4 linked regions of the Caenorhabditis elegans genome follow. The protein of the gene in region 1 purifies or fractionates together with the protein of each later gene. This does not show direct contact. Each region holds a gene or a part of one and is shown on either strand. Other genes may lie near its edges.

The links.
Region 2: the proteins of knl-3 (region 1) and him-10 purify together in Caenorhabditis elegans (affinity purification with mass spectrometry, with the first as the bait; one study listed by BioGRID). This does not show direct contact.
Region 3: the proteins of knl-3 (region 1) and knl-1 purify together in Caenorhabditis elegans (affinity purification with mass spectrometry; 2 studies listed by BioGRID). This does not show direct contact.
Region 4: the proteins of knl-3 (region 1) and mis-12 purify together in Caenorhabditis elegans (affinity purification with mass spectrometry; 2 studies listed by BioGRID). This does not show direct contact.

Annotation. Positions count from the first base shown.
Region 1 is NC_003283.11:1,867,264-1,871,101, forward strand, and holds knl-3 (Kinetochore NuLl), read left to right. Parts: upstream 1-1,949; 5' UTR 1,950-1,950; coding exon 1,951-2,517; intron 2,518-2,570; coding exon 2,571-2,861; intron 2,862-2,924; coding exon 2,925-3,098; 3' UTR 3,099-3,295; downstream 3,296-3,838. Other genes in the region: T10B5.3 (Small-subunit processome Utp12 domain-containing protein), read right to left, coding at 538-776, 826-1,053, 1,105-1,298; T10B5.4 (aralkylamine N-acetyltransferase), read right to left, coding at 3,313-3,471, 3,753-3,838.
Region 2 is NC_003281.10:5,801,573-5,805,637, reverse strand, and holds him-10 (Kinetochore protein Nuf2 homolog), read right to left. Parts: upstream 2,379-4,065; 5' UTR 2,374-2,378; coding exon 2,269-2,373; intron 2,218-2,268; coding exon 2,063-2,217; intron 2,017-2,062; coding exon 1,465-2,016; intron 1,409-1,464; coding exon 1,103-1,408; intron 1,046-1,102; coding exon 988-1,045; intron 941-987; coding exon 644-940; 3' UTR 526-643; downstream 1-525. Other genes in the region: R12B2.3 (Ras-associating domain-containing protein), read right to left, coding at 24-28; polq-1 (DNA polymerase theta), read left to right, coding at 2,596-2,664, 2,715-2,838, 2,891-3,127, 3,178-3,822. UniProt on the Caenorhabditis elegans protein: Acts as a component of the essential kinetochore-associated NDC80 complex, which is required for chromosome segregation in mitosis and meiosis and spindle checkpoint activity.
Region 3 is NC_003281.10:8,248,657-8,254,461, forward strand, and holds knl-1 (Outer kinetochore KNL1 complex subunit knl-1), read left to right. Parts: upstream 1-1,975; 5' UTR 1,976-1,979; coding exon 1,980-2,125; intron 2,126-2,172; coding exon 2,173-2,262; intron 2,263-2,314; coding exon 2,315-2,720; intron 2,721-2,765; coding exon 2,766-3,491; intron 3,492-3,535; coding exon 3,536-4,079; intron 4,080-4,123; coding exon 4,124-4,464; intron 4,465-4,507; coding exon 4,508-5,287; downstream 5,288-5,805. Other genes in the region: C02F5.10 (uncharacterized protein), read right to left, coding at 77-106, 156-338, 386-480, 687-816; C02F5.2 (DUF5356 domain-containing protein), read left to right, coding at 981-1,035, 1,086-1,192, 1,236-1,326, 1,373-1,506. UniProt on the Caenorhabditis elegans protein: Acts as a component of the outer kinetochore KNL1 complex that serves as a docking point for spindle assembly checkpoint components and mediates microtubule-kinetochore interactions.
Region 4 is NC_003279.8:3,603,992-3,607,560, reverse strand, and holds mis-12 (uncharacterized protein), read left to right. Parts: upstream 1-1,857; 5' UTR 1,858-1,866; coding exon 1,867-1,948; intron 1,949-2,004; coding exon 2,005-2,072; intron 2,073-2,120; coding exon 2,121-2,201; intron 2,202-2,252; coding exon 2,253-2,309; intron 2,310-2,360; coding exon 2,361-2,450; intron 2,451-2,655; coding exon of another isoform or gene 2,656-2,688; exon of another isoform or gene 2,689-2,732; coding exon 2,733-2,882; 3' UTR 2,883-3,046; downstream 3,047-3,569. Other genes in the region: Y47G6A.25 (uncharacterized protein), read left to right, coding at 1-68, 118-403, 696-781, 829-1,095; Y47G6A.31 (RING-type domain-containing protein), read right to left, coding at 3,134-3,437.

The sequences.
Region 1 (3,838 bases):
GCCGAAAAATCGGTCATCGGCAACTTTCAGGCAATTTTTCTGCTCTTTTTCCAATTTTTCCACTAAAAATAATGTTATTTTCAGTAAAAACAAGTGAATTTCTATGTTTTGAGACTGATTTTATTGAAAAATTTGGGAAGTACAGGCTTTTTGTAGAATTTTCCGAAAATAATTGAGAACAGGAATATTCACCTTATTATATACTAAAAACCGCGGAAAAATCTGATTTTTAATGTTTTTTTATAAAAAACCTGCAAAAATTCATTTTCCGAGCTTATCTACAAAAAATTCTATTTTGCCGCATTCTCTCGGTTTATATGAAAATAACACACTTTTCAGCAGAAATATTGGAGAAAATGCCCAAAAATTGCCTGAAAGTTGCATTTTTCTGCGTTTTTTTCCACTTTTTCCACTAAAAACAATGCTATTTTCAGATAAACCAAGTGAATTTTCACTGAAAAACGTGGGAAACACAGGCTTTTCCGCTGGAAAATATCTTGCGCGTAATTTTCCGCGAAAATCCGCTCAAAATATTACCATTATTGAACACAACCAACGGCTGCTGCACAATAACCACATTATTAGTTCGTCTCTTGATAAGATCAGCGATTGTGGATATTTTTCCGTGAAGAGCCAACAAATCTCGATGATGACCGACTCTTGAGCGCAGCCAGCCGATTAAACCGCCAATTTCCTTCTCCAAATTCGGAAGTGAGCTGAGATAAGGCATGTGAATTGAGAAGGCGATTTGAGCCCATCGGATGGTTGGACGAATGCTGGAAAATCAATAAATTAGGAGGAATTAGTACTAAAAATTCGATTTACTCTGCAGCATTCCTCGTTTTCAAGCGAGATTCGATGATTTTGAGCAATGGCAAGACCTGCATCGGCTGGAGATCACGGAGGGTAGCGTGAATAATTTCAGAATTCAAATTTCTAATGACTGAGTCGATTTTTGCACTATCATTAGCCATTATTCCCTGAGTAAGCAGAACACATTGTGATCCACCGCCGCTACCACTCGTTTTTCCCTTTTTGAGTTCAGAAGTTGGCCTGAAAATCGGAAATAATTGAATATTATCGAAAATCCACCAATAATCCTACGTGGCTGGCTCTTTTTCACGATCTCCGAGCGGTTTGTTGGCCTCTTTCTCCGATTCACTCAGTTTTTTCCCATTTCGAAGCGAACCGTTAATATGCGAATGCCCATTTACTACAGGGGACTCGATTTTCTCAGGAGTTGCAGGAGATGTAACTGCCGCCACATTTGATTTCCTGGCTTTCCGTTCTCGAGCCATTTTCTGGAAACTGCAAAAAAATATTGGAAAATTCGATTTTAAGGCCATTTTACGCACAATAATCGCAAAAAAGATACATTTCACGGTAAAAAAGCTTTAAAAACTAATAAGAACAATAAAAAATCAATAAAATACGCCTGAAAACCATGAAAAACTCTTCAAAAACGCCTGGAAATAAGGAAAATAAAGATTAAAAATTTTGCACCGCAAACGCGCAAGCGACGAGAAATGCGTCAGTGACGGGGTTGGCGCGGCAAATTAACCCCGCGAATTTTGAACGTGACCCCTTCATTCGGTGGATTTTGGGCCCAAAATTTGCGATTTTCTCTTATTTCCATTTCATTTGCGGCAGTTTTTTCCGGAAAATACACGAAACTGGCTTATTTCAACATGAAAATCCAACTTTTTTAAGCGAAAATTGTCTAAAATTGAAATAAAAATGCAGAAAACGGGTTTGTCTATCTGAAAATAATGTTTTACGGCATTTTTCGGCAAACTGCAAGCTTTTTAACAAAAATGAGTTTTATTTTCAAATAGAAAAACCCGTTTTCTATCAATTTTAGATCAAAAAAGTTGGATTTTCATATTAAAATAAGCCATTTCTTTGTTTTCAACGTTATTTTCTCATTTTTAATCACTAATTCATTTCAGAATGTCTCAAAAATCAAACGACACCACATTCTCGGTCAGAGCCGCGCTCTTCGCATCACCCGTCGGCTCATCATCAGCAGTTCCAAAGAAGAAAGTGGCTCGAGAGGTGCCACGTGCAGGGCCGCCAGTTTTTGCCCTCGAGCACGATGTTTCGGAAGTCACCGACAGAAATAAAGACGGCACCTTTCTGGCTGCAGACGCGTGCGCTAGTGGCCCTACTTTGAAGGTTCCAGACGAAACACAAGGTTGCCCAGAAACTTTCAGTGTTTCGGAACACGAAGATGACGACGACGTTGAGCCGATGGAAGTTGATGGAACCATCGTTCCGTCGCCCCAGCGAGCAACGCCGACACGTGGCGTAACTCCTTGCGAAAAATCGACGACTCCACGCAGAAGATCCTCGAGAAAGTCGATGCCAACGCCTGGGAAGCGTCTGTTCTTCACCAGCAAAGACACTACGAACGAGGATCGCAAGGCTGATGACTCGACGCAACTGGAGCTTCTGATGGCAAAGATTCCGCAGGAGATGTCGGGTTACATGAAAAAGTTGGCCACCGACATCAAAGAGGTAGTATTATCGATTTTTAACTTTACATTTAAATCTAAAATTTTCATTTTCAGATGAGCCAATACGATGCACAGCTGGCGCGGAATATCGACGACATGGAAGCGGTTTTCAAATCCCGCGAAACTAAGCTCAAGTCAGCTATTGAAATCGCCAAGGACAGCTTCATCTCGTCCGCTCTGCCTCTTCGCCTCGAGACCCTGGACATGACTCTGCGTAAAGAAGAATCGCCAAATGATATCGTTGCGAGACTTCACGGAAGTTTTCTCGACAAAACCCAGGATGCCGGAAACGTGAATACTGCACAAAAGGAGAACCAGCAGCTGGAGGATGAGCGCGGGATGCTGGTGAGAGTTTCAAATTATTTAAATATGATTTTTAAAAATAAAAATACAATATTATATTTCCAGGAAGAAAAGCTGGAGAGTCTCAACAAGATCAAGAGAGAGAAGGATGAATTTCTGGCGAAAATGCGAAAAGAGGAAGAGGAAGCGCTCGCTCGCCGGGAGGAAATCAAGCAGGGCTTCGAGCGAATCGATGCTCTAATGAGCAAAATCAAGCCGATTCCAATTTTTGAATTCTGATTTCTGATTTCTCACGCTCTGTATAATATTCTATTTCTGACACAATTGATTTCATAAATACATGTATAATATTTTATTCATAGCCTAGGTCTTGCTTATTAAGTGTCAATTTCATTACGTGTACTTTAATTATTGGTTTTGAGTATCTGAAGTTGAGATCCTAGCTGCTTTGGTCCTTTATAAATATATGTTTCTTTAATTTGAGTTGCTATCGCTATCGAAGGTCGTCCTCTTCCTCCTCATTTGCATGTTTTTCTAGCTTCTTCCCCATTAGTTTCCCGCTGACTCCACCGTCGACGAGGTTCTCGAAAACCACGTCGCCATTGTTTCGAAAACAGGAAAATGGCATTTCGCGAAGTGTTGTGAGACCACACTGGAATTTTATTAGTTTTTGAAGCTTTTAGATCGAAAATTCATCGAGGCACCACGGATTCAAGTGCCAACGCAAAGAAACGGGCCAGATCCGATATCCCACCGGTTCTAGATTTCGTGGTGCCTCAATTGGTCTTGCCACGTGGTCAAAGGTCTCGCCACGCTTCCGATGTGGTGTGTGTGCCTTTAAACACGGGTACTGTATTTTTTATAGGTTTTCTGACTTTTCGCTCTATTTTTTTCGTAAAAAGCGGAAATTTTATTGAATAAGAAACTACTATCCTTGCTGAAAATATTCTGAGAAGCCACAGCAGTTGCAACGGTTGCCACGTACTCGCAATCTTCCTTCACAGCATTTTCCAGACTCT
Region 2 (4,065 bases), on another chromosome or scaffold:
GAACATTATTTGAAAAAGCTTACTGCATAATTTGTAGAGTGAATTTTTCAGAAATACAATACAAAAATTGAGAAATGAACGAAAAATGTCAATGTTGAATGCAATAACTCGAGGCCCGCACGATTTATTTAAATTTATTTAGAATTTTGGTAGGATAATATTCAATTCAGAAGGACAATTCCAACTTGTAGAGCTAATGAGCGAAGAGAAGTTTAAAATTTCTGGAAAAGTTTTCATTTCAAGATAATTTTTTTTTCAAAAAACGTTTCAAAACTTCCGACTCTCACTTATTCCCTGTTTGAGCTTTCTCCAAAATAAGAAACCACGCCCACTTTTTGTCTTACTGTAGTCTTAAAGACGCAAACAAAAAAATACAAGGCAAAAAATTCAAAATTTCTAATTTTATTTTTAATTAAAAACAGAGGCACATAATCTCCCCGTAAATACCACTTGAGTGAATTCTTACCTGAAAAGTAAATTGGTGTGAAATTTCTAGAGCCTGGGAATGAAAAGAAAACATTTGAAAATAAAGACCACATGATTTATTTAGACTCAGTTAAAATTTTGTTATTGGTATGGAAGAAAGCATAACATTTACATTGAATAGAGATCAAATGAAGTGAAATTTTCGAGTTGAGTCATTCTATTTGAAAACGGAAAAACTCGAATCGTTAGGTTGTGGATCACAATTTTCCGTGTTCTCTCCGGCGTCGATTGTCGATGATCCGAATGTGTAATCACTCAGAAGGCGTCCGGTAAGAGAGCTTTTTAGACGTTCCATTTCACGTGCAGCTGCAGTGTTCTTCTCAAAAGCTACTTTCTGGGTTTCTTTGAACATTGCATTAAGTTTTGCGAATTTTGCAACAGCATCTTGGCAAGAGTTGGTGATTTGGGAAATCGTCTCACTGTGTGCGTTTTTTAGAGCGAGGAGTTCTTGCTTCTGAAAAAAATGTTGGTGAGTTTTATGAAGATTGATCTGACAAAAACCTTTTTAGCAATTTCCTGTGACACATCTGGCTGACTAGTTTTCAAATTTGCGATTTGCCTGAAAGATTTACATCGTTTAAAAAAATGTTTTCAAAGTATCAAATAAATTCCTCACTCGGTAATCTCCTCAATTCTACGCTGACGCTCTTCACTTTTCTGCGTGTGTTCTATACGCAATTGTTCATGAGTCTCCGACTGCTCGACGAGTCGCTTTTGTGCCGTTTCCATCTCCTTCATCATAAAATCCAATTGCTCCTCCATTTCCTTGAGCTTTCGAAGATTCTCACTTTCAACATCGATCAGGTCAATGATAACTTCTCGAACTTCAGTCCACTGATGGATCTTCTCAATAATCACTGGCACGTTCTTCTCCGAGTTGATGCAAATTTCACGAGCCTCGAGTTTTGCTTGAAGGCCTTTTCTGAAAATAATTACTTTTATTTTGAATTTTTGGAGAGACTGAAGATATATCAGTACTTTGATGATTCAAGACAATCGCGGAGCTCTTCAATGTGACGTTTCCTTTCCTCCATTTCTTGTTTCAGCTGTTCCGGCGATGTCAGAACTTCTTCATTCAAATGCTCAATTGTCTTTTTACCAGTTAGCATTTCCTTTTCGAGGGCTTGAATGTGCAGAATAGCTTCTTCTTTCTGCTTGTCGAGTTCTTCATTAATTTGACGAGTTTCGGTATATTCGTTCACAACATTTTTAAGTTCTGCCTTCGCATTGCTCTGTTCGTTGATTAATTCATGCTCATGACGTTTTCTTATGCTTTGTTTCGCGAGAAGATCATTTTTCTTCTTCTCGGCTTCTAACAACTCTTCCCGAATCTTTTCCATTTCGAACTTTCGATCACTGAACTCTTCGCTAATTTCATTGAACGCTGGAGTGGCCAATTCGTGAAGTTTCAGAAAATCTACAAGAAAACTTGTCAGCTTTCTGAATCGATGTTCGTGTTTTGCAGGTGTCACGAGATCGCACATCGTCAAGTCCAGCTTGTTGCCAGAATTATCTTTGATAAATGCTTTCCTGAAAAAATATTTCAGCAAATCTAACATTAAAATTAAAATCTTACATGCATTGGAAGAGAATAATGATAGGAATGCTCTTTTTATGCAATTCTGGATCATAATCACAGTTGGCGGACAGCGGAAGGGTCGTCAGCGAGCTTTCCGACACATTTAACACAAGCCTCACAAAATTAGCAAATATTTGTTGCGCTATTTCTGCCTGAAATCGGGTTATTTGTGCTGATGAATTCAATATTCTGTTCAAACTTACGGTTGGCTTGATAATGTCATCGGCGACAAGGCCCATATGCAATTTTTGACCAAGATACTTTGAAATCATCCGCGGATCATACACAATTAGTACAACGTTTGACATTTCTCCTGAAAAATGGAATTTCAGTTCTAAAAACACAAAAATAAAGTTAGAAATTGTTAAAAACAAAAAAGTTTATTTGAATTCGCCGAAGAGCGCGCCAAAACATGTGACATTTCTCGGCCGTGAAAACTAGGCCACCGCGGCCACAAACAAATTTTAGTTTTCTTCGCTGAAAAAAACATGTTTTTCAGTCTGAAATCAGAGTTTTTAGTATGAAACAAGATGGACGAGGCTTCCTGTAGATTTCCAGAATGGGTTTCTTCAAAAATCATCGATTATTACGCAGAGCAGGTAACATAAATCGCTGTGATGAAATAGGGACAAAATTTTTTTAATTTCAGAACATCAAAGCGCTGTTCGATTGGCAGATTGATGTGTTGAATGAGGCAAGACAATTTGAAGATCAACACTTGATATTCAGTGCGCCAACAAGTGCTGGGAAAAGCATTGTAGCTGAACTTTTATGTATTATTTTATCTGGTTTAAAGAATAAATGTTTAAAAACTGTAATTTTCAGCATGGAAAGTCGCTTCAACTGGTAGAAAGGTACTCTTCGTACTTCCTTATATCTCCGTGGCTCGAGAGAAACTTCATCAAATTCAACGGTGTTGGAGACGAGATGACATTTCTGTCTGTGGCTTCATTGGTCCACAGGCCTCAAATCCAAATGAGTGGCTTGGGGCAGTTTGTACCATCGAAAAAGCAGCAAGTTTGACAAATCGAGCATTATCAGAAGATTGGTTTGAGGAAATTGGTTAGATAAATCGATTTTAATTTAAAATTTTCACAAAAAGTAGCTTTCAGGAATGATAGTCGTTGATGAAATGCACATGGTTTTCGATTCGTCTCGTGGTGCACACATTGAGCACATGCTCTCGAAAGTTTTGCTCTGGAACCAATCTGCACTGGAAAAAGTTAGAATTATCGGAATGAGTGCAACTATTCCAGAACTTTATCGAATAGGCAAATGGCTGGACGGTGCGAAAGTTTTCGAAGCAAGATTTCGACCAATTGTTCTACAAAATCATATTGTAATTGGTTCGGAGTTGAGGAAATCTGGAGATAACAAAGTTCTAAGAGAATTCTCTGAAGATCCATTAATATTGCTTACCGAAGAGAGTTTTCGCCGCAATTCTCAGACTTTGGTAATGATTTCTTCGAAACTTGATGCCGAGAAGACTGCTTTGAATATTGCGTCGAGATTCCATGAGATCAATAAAACCGACAGCTCATTGTTGGAAATATTAAAAGAACGAGCCAATGGACTATTATTTATAAAGCATGGATTGGAACGGAATGGTTGCAAGGATCGGAATGTTATGTCAACACTTGCATGGGGAGTAGCATATCATCATGCTGGATTGACGATGGAGGAAAGAGAATGCATTGAACTAGGATTTCGGGAGAAAAATATTGTTATTCTTGTGGCTACAAGTACTTTGGCTTCAGGTGAGTGTTTTAAAATTTTAATTGTGGTCAACCGAAATATCGGAAGAAATTAAAAGCAAAATGTTTGTTGAAATATTTTTGGGGAAAAAATTAAATCAAACAATAATTTTCATTTAGGGTGAAGATTTGTTGATAAAAATTTACTTTAAACTTTCAAAAAATACTATTCACTCAAGAATTTCCAGTTGTTTGCTAATCCCGCTCTTCCCTTTTTTTTAAATCGAAAAGCGAAAATTTTTCGGT
Region 3 (5,805 bases), on another chromosome or scaffold:
AAATTAACTAATACGAGTGGAAAATTAATTGTTTATTGGTCAATATTTACAACCGATCTCATATTGTCAAATCCAATCATTGCGGCAATTGTGTGCTAACTGTCACCTGTAAAATTTGTAATTTCCTTTGTCATTTACTTTATAAAGAAAAATACCTTAATCTTCGAAAGATCACGTCCGTCAATTATCTCACTGAAAATACGACTCATCATTTGAGCCAGCTTATCTGGCCGTTCGTCAATGATTGGAATGACAGGAGGCATTGCTGCTCTGAACTTTTTGATTTTTTCAATGGTTTCTTTGGAACGATAAGGACCACTGAACACGGATACCTTGTTCTGAAATTGGATGATTAGAAGGATTTACTACAAATTTGAATATTTACTGGAGCATTTTTGACGTTCAGAAGTTCAGCTGAGAACGGTTCATCACTGGCATCCCACTCTCCTTCAGTGCATTCTGGCAGCTGTTCGCCCTTATCTGGAAATTAAACTTTGTATTGTCCAGATGCGAAAACTGTAAAATAGCTTGGAGTTGGGTTACTGTAGTCCTTAAAGCCATACGCCTGTTTTCTAACTAAAAACGCTGCCTAAAAATATTTCGGTCGTGTCGAGACCGGGCACCGTACTTCTCAGCGTAAACTAACAAAATTTCGCATCTGTGTAATATTGAAATTTCATCCTTACCATCATCAGTAATTTGAATCTTCGGCAACTGTCGAATAGATTGCTGAACACTTGGTGCTGGTAGTTCCTCTTCTTTTTCGTCTTTTTTATCTTCTTTCTTTTCTTCTTTGCTTGGTTGCTGCTCTGCCATTTTTTGCCTCTTGATTTTGATTTTATCGTTTTGAAGAATAAAATTATTTCCTTTTCAAAAGATGTTTTTTCTTAATTAAAAGATTTCGAAAAAAAAATGCAATACACGTAATTTTGAGTTTTCACTTATGGAAATGTATTTTACAAATCATTTTCAAATACAAGATGGACAACAAAAAGAAGGAAGAAAATCCTAGTAAATCTGATACTTCTATAAGCCGTGAGTAATATATATAACTTTTCGGTTTTTTTTTTAATAAAAAGTTTTAGTTCCACCAAGCTCAACTGGAGAAGCGCTTCAAAATTATACAGAATCGGAATGGAACGCATCAGATGATCCGTATTCTGCAGAACTTCTCAATGTGAAAAAGAAGCCGGTAATTTTTATTTTTACGTAGATTTTCATTAAAACTTTTCCAGAATCGAGTTAATGTGTTCTCAGCAACTGAGAAGAACATGGAAACTATAATTGTCACTGAAGAATCTCCACCACAAACTCCATTGCCTTTAAGTTGAGAAATCACAAAATTCTGGGAACTTAATTTGTATTGGTTTAGAGCCTGTCGTAGAACACCACAATTTGGCTCGATTGATTCAGAAATCATGTCAATTGCTCTTGGATAAAACTACACCAGATGGAACAGAAGTGCAAATAAAATTAGAATTCCCTGACTGGAGAGATACCGCCTGATTCTCTATGTGTTGAATAAAGCTTAACGGTTAAAAAAAAATTAATTGAAATCTGCCTGAAAAAATATCTAAATACAGTACTCACAAGAGAAACTACGGATTTTGAGAATTCGAATTTCGTAGAAAATATTTTTGCAATGTGTATCAGCTGTAATGGTACATATATTTATTTATTAATATTGAATTTTATCTAATTTTTGAAACAATTGGTTTTTTAAACTATTAAAATTGTATTATACTGCCCCAAGTTAAGGAATTACTCGTAGTGTGCGTTCTACGGAACCGGTGGTGTGTCGAGTGCAGCTTCGCTCCATTGTACAAGTTCAATTTCAAACAGAGATTTGCCGCCAAGCAAAACTGCCTTCGTTTACTTTTCACTTTTTTACTTTTCCCATTTAACGAAGTTTATGCTGCCGTTGTTTTGTTATTTTTTTAATCATAATTTATTACCATTTTTAAAACATATTTACAGCCATGTCGATGGAGCCTCGTAAGAAGCGGAACTCGATTCTCAAGGTGCGGCAAGCCGTCGAAACCATCGAGGAAACCGTCATGAACAGTGGGCCTAGTTCCACAACAACTAATCGACGAGTCAGCTTTCATAACGTGAAGCATGTCAAGTCAGTTAGAGTCAGTGAATAATTTATCAATAAAATAATTATTTCAGGCAGTATGACAGGGACCATGGTAAAATTCTTGACGCCACACCAGTTAAGGAGAAGATTACTGACACTATTGGATCAGATGGTATTTTGACGTGAGTTCCATCCTTTAACGTGAAATAATGAATACGTAAAAATCTTTTTAAGACCACGTGGCGGAAACATGGATATTTCCGAATCTCCGGCCTGCACGTCCTCATTTCAAGTGTTCGGCGGTGGTAATCTCGATAAAACTATGGATATGTCTCTCGAAACAACTATCAACGAGAACAACGAAACGGCGAGATTGTTTGAAACCACAAGAGATCCAACACTATTATACGAAAAGATCGTCGAAACCACAACAAAAGTTACCGAGCGAATTGTTAGTATGCCACTGGATGATACCTTAGCAATGTTCAATACAACGAATCAAGAAGATAAGGATATGTCAGTTGATCGTTCAGTTCTTTTCACGATTCCCAAAGTTCCGAAGCATAACGCTACAATGAATAGAACTATACCGATGGACCTCGATGAATCAAAAGCAGCGGGCGGCCAGTGCGATGAAACGGTATGTTGAATTAATAGAAGGAACCAAATTATCTTAATTTTACAGATGAATGTGTTCAATTTCACAAACTTGGAAGCCGCTGAAATGGATACGAGTAAATTAGATGAAAATAATACCATGAATGCTATCCGGATTCCGATTAATTCAAACGTCATGCCTGTAGACATGGACATCACTGAACATCACACTTTAATTGAAGAAAAGAAAAATGATACATTCGGGCCAAGTCAACTGATGGACATTTCGGCGCCACAAGTTCAAGTTAATGATACTTTGGCCATTTTCAACAGTCCGAGAGACATCTGTAATAAGGGTTTGGGTGTTCCTCAGAATCTAATAAATATCGCCTCGAACGTCGTACCTGTGGACATGGACATCACTGATCAGGCCGTATTAAACGCGGAGAAGAAAAATGATCAATTCGAGACAAGTCAGCTTATGGACATTTCTATTCCGAAAGTTCTAGTAAATGACACTATGGCGATGTTCAACAGCCCGAAACACGTCAGTAAGAGCAGCATGGATCTCGAGAAAACGATTGAAGCCGCTGACAAATCAACGAAATACCCGAGTATCGCAGATGAGGTGGAAGATTTAGACATGGATATGGATATCACTGAACAACAACCATGTGAGGCTGGTAATCAGCAGAACGACGGCTTGCAACTTCAAAAGGAGGATTTAATGGACATTTCGGTGATTCGAGATTCACCTGCAGTAAACGACACCATGGCTGTGTTCCAGAGTCCTGCCAGAGTAAAGATCGGAGCGGTAAGTTTTAAGCACACTTTCCAATAAAAATGTATTTCTTTCAGAACAACTCGATCATTGATTCGCAGAAATCTATCGTGTTCGGTGACGAAATGAGCATTGACGAGACACAAAATGATGGAACCTTGACGTTGCCAAAGTCGAATGTAGAAGTGACTACAACTAATGATGTCTACACGTCTCTCGAGCGGCAAGAGGAAAATGCTTCAGAAAACGTATCCATGATAAACGAATCTTCTGTTCATTCGGAAATCGACAAAAAGTCGTTTATGCTCATCGAAGAAGAAAGGGCTTTTATGCACTCCTCCATGATTGATGTAGCACAAAAGTTGGAAGACGATGGTTCGTCGAAGACGCCAGTCATCCTTGCTTCACAGTCAGCTTCTCTTGCCACTAAAGAACCATCAGCCCTTCACAACTCGAGTGCAACTCTCAACAATTCGATGGAATTGGACAACAATACTCTTCTTAAAACTATGCAAATTACAACGTGTGAAGACATTAGCATGGTCCATGAGTCTATTGCTGTTGAACTGAACAGTAACAAAGAGCAGGAGCAATTCGGAGATGAGACTTTGCAGAAAAATGGTAAATTTCGTTTATTCAATAACTCTATTAAAAGTATGTTTTAGATACCTCGAATACTGGCGCGAATTTCACATTCCAAGGCCATAATGAAACATCGCAAATCATGAACAATGTCGACTCGGAAGCAGTGAACACGTCCAAGATTTCAACATATTCGGCTTTCAATTTGAGCATCAACCAGTCTATCTCTAAACGACGTCGATCTCTTCTGAATTCTGCTCGTGAATCTCCTCGTCGTGTTGCGTTGGAGAATTCTATAATGTCGATGAATGGGCAAACAATGGAAGCTCTGACAGAATATCGACAGAATAAAACTATGCAGACGAGTCAAGATTCGATGCCGAGTATGAGTTTGAACGATTCGGGAAGAGATATTCTCGCGATGGTAAGAATATCTCTTTGAGTATTGAATCGAAAATGTCTTTCAGAATACATCAGTCCGCTCTCCTCATCTGAATTCTTCAAAAACTGCTGCCCCAGGAACACCATCATTGATGTCACAAAATGTACAACTTCCACCTCCATCTCCTCAATTCGAAATGCCAGACTTCGATCCAGCTGTGGTCAACGTTGTATATTTAACATCTGAAGATCCGTCCACTGAACAACATCCAGAAGCTCTCAAATTTCAGCGTATTGTTGAAAACGAGAAAATGAAAGTACAACACGAGATTGATTCTCTGAATTCAACCAATCAACTTTCTGCTGAGAAAATTGATATGTTGAAGACTAAGGAGCTCTTGAAGTTTAGTCATGATGAGCGAGAAGCGATTATGATTGCAAGAAAAGACGCGGAAATCAAGTTTTTGGAGCTTCGTCTGAAATTTGCACTCGAGAAAAAAATTGAAAGTGACCAGGAAATTGCTGAACTAGAACAAGGAAATTCGAAAATGGCTGAGCAGCTAAGAGGTCTCGATAAGATGGCTGTCGTTCAAAAAGAACTAGAAAAGCTGAGAAGTCTTCCTCCATCACGCGAAGAGAGCGGGAAAATCCGAAAGGAGTGGATGGAGATGAAGCAATGGGAATTCGACCAGAAAATGAAAGCACTCCGAAATGTACGCTCAAACATGATTGCACTTCGTTCAGAGAAAAATGCTCTCGAAATGAAAGTCGCGGAAGAACACGAGAAGTTTGCCCAGAGGAACGATTTGAAGAAAAGTCGAATGCTGGTGTTCTCTAAGGCTGTTAAGAAAATTGTGAACTTCTAGTGAGTTTAATATCGAAAAATTAACAGTCAAAAATTATAATTTTAGATGCCGCCTTCACCCTTCCCTTGCATCAGGCCTACAATACTTCTGATGCTCATATAATTCTTTACCTAATGTGCCATATATTTTAGTTTTTTTTTCATCTAAAAATACCCATTGTGCATCAACCGCACTTGCTGTATTTCCTTCAAGATGTTTACCTTTTCCCCTATACATTTATGCCTCAGAGCAATCACAAAGTTATGTTTTTATTCCTAGTTCATTCTCAATCAATCTAAAGGAGACTTATGGTTTGAATAGTCAAATGAATAAATATTCCTTGTAACCAAATTTTTTTGTAGCCGTGTTTTTTTTTGTAAAATGAAGTTATTGTGCGTTTAAAAATCGGAGTTTAAAAAATCGGAGCTTCAGTCTCCTCTCTTAAAAATAATTTTAGCTTACTATTTACTACTGTAGTTCCAAATAGAATATACATAATAAGGCGGGTAGGCAAGAGTTTGACACCTCGGGAGGTACAT
Region 4 (3,569 bases), on another chromosome or scaffold:
AGAAACGGCAAAAAATGAGCGAAAAGGAAATTATTTGTAGATTTGGAAGCGATAAATTCAAGATTAAGGTGTTTTTAGTGAAATTTTGAAATTCAAGTATTTATTTCAAATTTGCAGCTATTCAAGAAACAAAAAATAGGAAGCCATGTAACACTGATCGACTCTATTTCATTTCTCGGATTTTTGCCTGAAATCGAGCTCTGCCGTCAGGGATTCCTGGGAAGCAAACGATCAAATAAGCTGAAAATGGACATTACAACAGATTCTAAACTTGGAAATAAGATTCTTTTTTCCTTATCACAGTACTTGTTAAACGAAACGAAACGTCCTCAAACTGCTCTTTTCTCGTTCTCTTCAAAACCGAAACTTCGTGGATTCTGTATCATGGTGGCGTATGAGAGTGGTCCGTTCTGGGAGTACGGATTTCGTAATGGAACCTCTGAAAAATCTCTTTTTAAAAGATTTTTGGGATTAAAATTTCGAAAAAATTGGACAATTTCTCCAATTTTTGGTAAAATATTCGATTTTGAATTTTCGAATCAGCCAAAACTAGGAGTTTTAGCTGAAATTAGCCACTTTTTCGAAATTTTTAACCACTCAAAAAAAAATTTTGAGATTTTCTTTGGCAATCTCATTACAAAATTTGTTTTTTTTTTGGCAAATTTGTAAAATCCAACTGTAAAATCCAATTTCAGAAAACGATGAAACATCAATCACCCTGATTCAACTCAAAGCATCTCTGGGAAAATGTCTCTGGAAAACCCTGAAATTTGTAAATCAGGTCAGCTTTTTCTGGTTTTTGTTTGAGAATAAAATCAAATTTTTCAGTCAGGTGAACATTCTAGACCGCTTCCCGACGACTCATACGAGCAAATTGCACCGATAGAACGGAAGCAGCTGAAACGAAGATTGTCTCGAATCGAACGGATCGCTTCTTCAGTTGAAGAAAAAAGAGCACAATTTGAGGCTTTCGCCAGGGAATATGACGCTTTGGATGCTCGAGACGCCTTCATGAAGTTCACTTCCACGTGGCAAACGGATCAGGGACTTTTGACAGCGCCCACGCCCTTCGAAGATGATAATAATAATAAATGATTTATTTTTTGAGATTTTTAGAGGATCGAATTTTAGAATAAAGCACTTGGAATTTATAGGTATTTAGGTTTGTTTCGTTGTTTTATTTATTGGTTTACAGCCAAAATTACTTTTTTTTTAACTTTTTAATTCCTCCTATTGATTACCCAGGAACTGCGATTTTCCACCGAAAATACGGTACCAGGTCTCGACACGACAATTTTGTGCTGAATGCGATAGGAATTTCCCAGAGAATCGAAAAATATGCCTTTTTTGATTTTATAAATTTTTTCCGATTTTTAGAGTTAAAAAAAAAAAGGAAAAAGCGACAATTTTCGACTTTTGATTTTGAGAAAATTCCAATTTTTGGATAATTTTCCGTCATTTTTTATTTTTTAAAGACTTTCTTTATTTATTTTTCATAATTTTCATCCAGTTTTTAACTAACAAAACTATTGTCACACAGAAAACCATGAAAAATCGATAAAATATCCGCAGCGACAAAAGTTTGAAATTACAGTAATCCTTAAAAGCGCACACCCGTTTCATTCAACAAATAATTGTCGTTTCGAGACCAGAAACAGTATTTTTGGAGGAAAATTGCAAAATTTTTACGCCTGTTTAATAATAAATATAAATATGTATCCATGTTCCATGTCCGCAATGCGACGTGAGCGTGTATGCACACCTCACCTCCCGCGAACCAATAATCTTCAAAAACAGTTTTTCGCCCTCATTTCTTGATTTAATCCTGAACATTTATTCTTTAAAAATTCAATTCAGAAACTAAAAATGGAGAGCGAATTGTCGGGAATCTCTAATGAAAATCAAATCTCGTTTTTCGGATTTTCGGCCGGTTCGTTCAGCGATTCCAGTGAGTTTTATTGAATTTTCGAACGTTTTTTTGCGGAAAAATCAGAAATCTTTCAGTTTTCAATATTTACGTCGACGCATGGGAAGAAGTTTGCAGCAATGAGTTTAAGAACTCATTGAAAAAGGTTTTTTTTTCAAAAAAGAAATTTAATTTTAAAAAATTTAATTTTCAGCTCACCGACAAAGACCGTCTCTGCTTGCTATCCTTCCCATTCAGCGACAAAACTAACGAGAAAGCATTCAAAATGATGAAGGTTTGACATATTTCTCGATTAAATATCTGAATTTATGCCAATTTTTTTCAGAGATTCTGCGTCACAAATATCTTCAGAATTCCCGCCTCTGTGACTCTTCCAGAATGCGTAAGAATTGCCTTTTTTCGGAAATTATTTATTTAAAAAATCATTTTTCAGAAGAAAATGCTCATCGCGTCGGCCAAGGAGCACAAAAGTCTGAAACAGGTCGAGAAGGAGTTCGACGAGAAATTGGAGAAAATTCGACAGGTAAATAAAAATAAATGAGGAACCTATCAGAATTTTTTTTTTCTTCACTACTAAATGGACTTAAAAATGCGGAAAATATACTGAAAATAGCTTAAAACTGTCCAAAATAGACTACAATGACTGAAAAAGGCTGCAAGTTGAGTAAAAATGACCGCGACTAGACTGAAAATCGTCAAAAAATTCAAGAAAAATTGCTTAATTTTAGAAACCTGCTAAAATCGCCAGTTTTTGCATCTAACCTTTCCAATTTTCACATAAAAGCTTCAAATTCCAAATGTTCAGCTCCGCATCAAACTGGCAAAACGACATGACGAGCTAGAAGCAGTGAACAATGCTATTGAAGTGCTCCATGTGATGGAGAAGAGCCAAGAGCAGCTTATAAGCCAGAAGAGAATTGTCCCCGATAGCCCAACACGAATGTCTCCAGTTTAACCTTATTTGTTCGAAAATCGATATTTTAAATATTTGATTTCTCTTTATTTTCTTTTTTTTTAATCCTATGCTAATTTTTTTCTTGAGCTCAAATTTGAGTGCTTATGAAGCTACACATTTACCAACTTAAACAACTATATAAAAATAAATTTATTTTTGAGAAAAATCGTGAAAAGGTACATGAAAAATAGCATACAATCATTCCACCGAACATCTTTGTGACCCGTATTTCATCGTCTAGAAACACAAAATCAAATCATTTTGAAATAAATACACAGAACAAAAAGAATAATCACAGCAATTACAAGGATCGAGAGGAAGTACAGAACACGTTTTTTCGACGAAATACACGATTTTTTGTCATCCAAAGTTTTCCCGTCGTCTTTATCAATTTCCAGGCTGATCTCGGAGCCCATGCCGAGCTGCTTGATTTTGTGCTCGTGCTCATCCATATGATTGCACGCACAGCCGAAGCAGAACGTGTGCTCTCCGCTTTCTCGGCGATCTTCCCAATTTGCATAGTTTTGGAGCATGCATGTCGGGCAGTAGTAGACGCTGGAATTAAATTTTGAGAAAAAATTATTTTTTGTTTTTTTTTAAGCTGCGATGTTCCTTTTTTTTTCTTAAAATTTTGTGAGATTTCATGAAAAAATCTTTAATTCTTTTAATTTTTATTACTAGCTACGA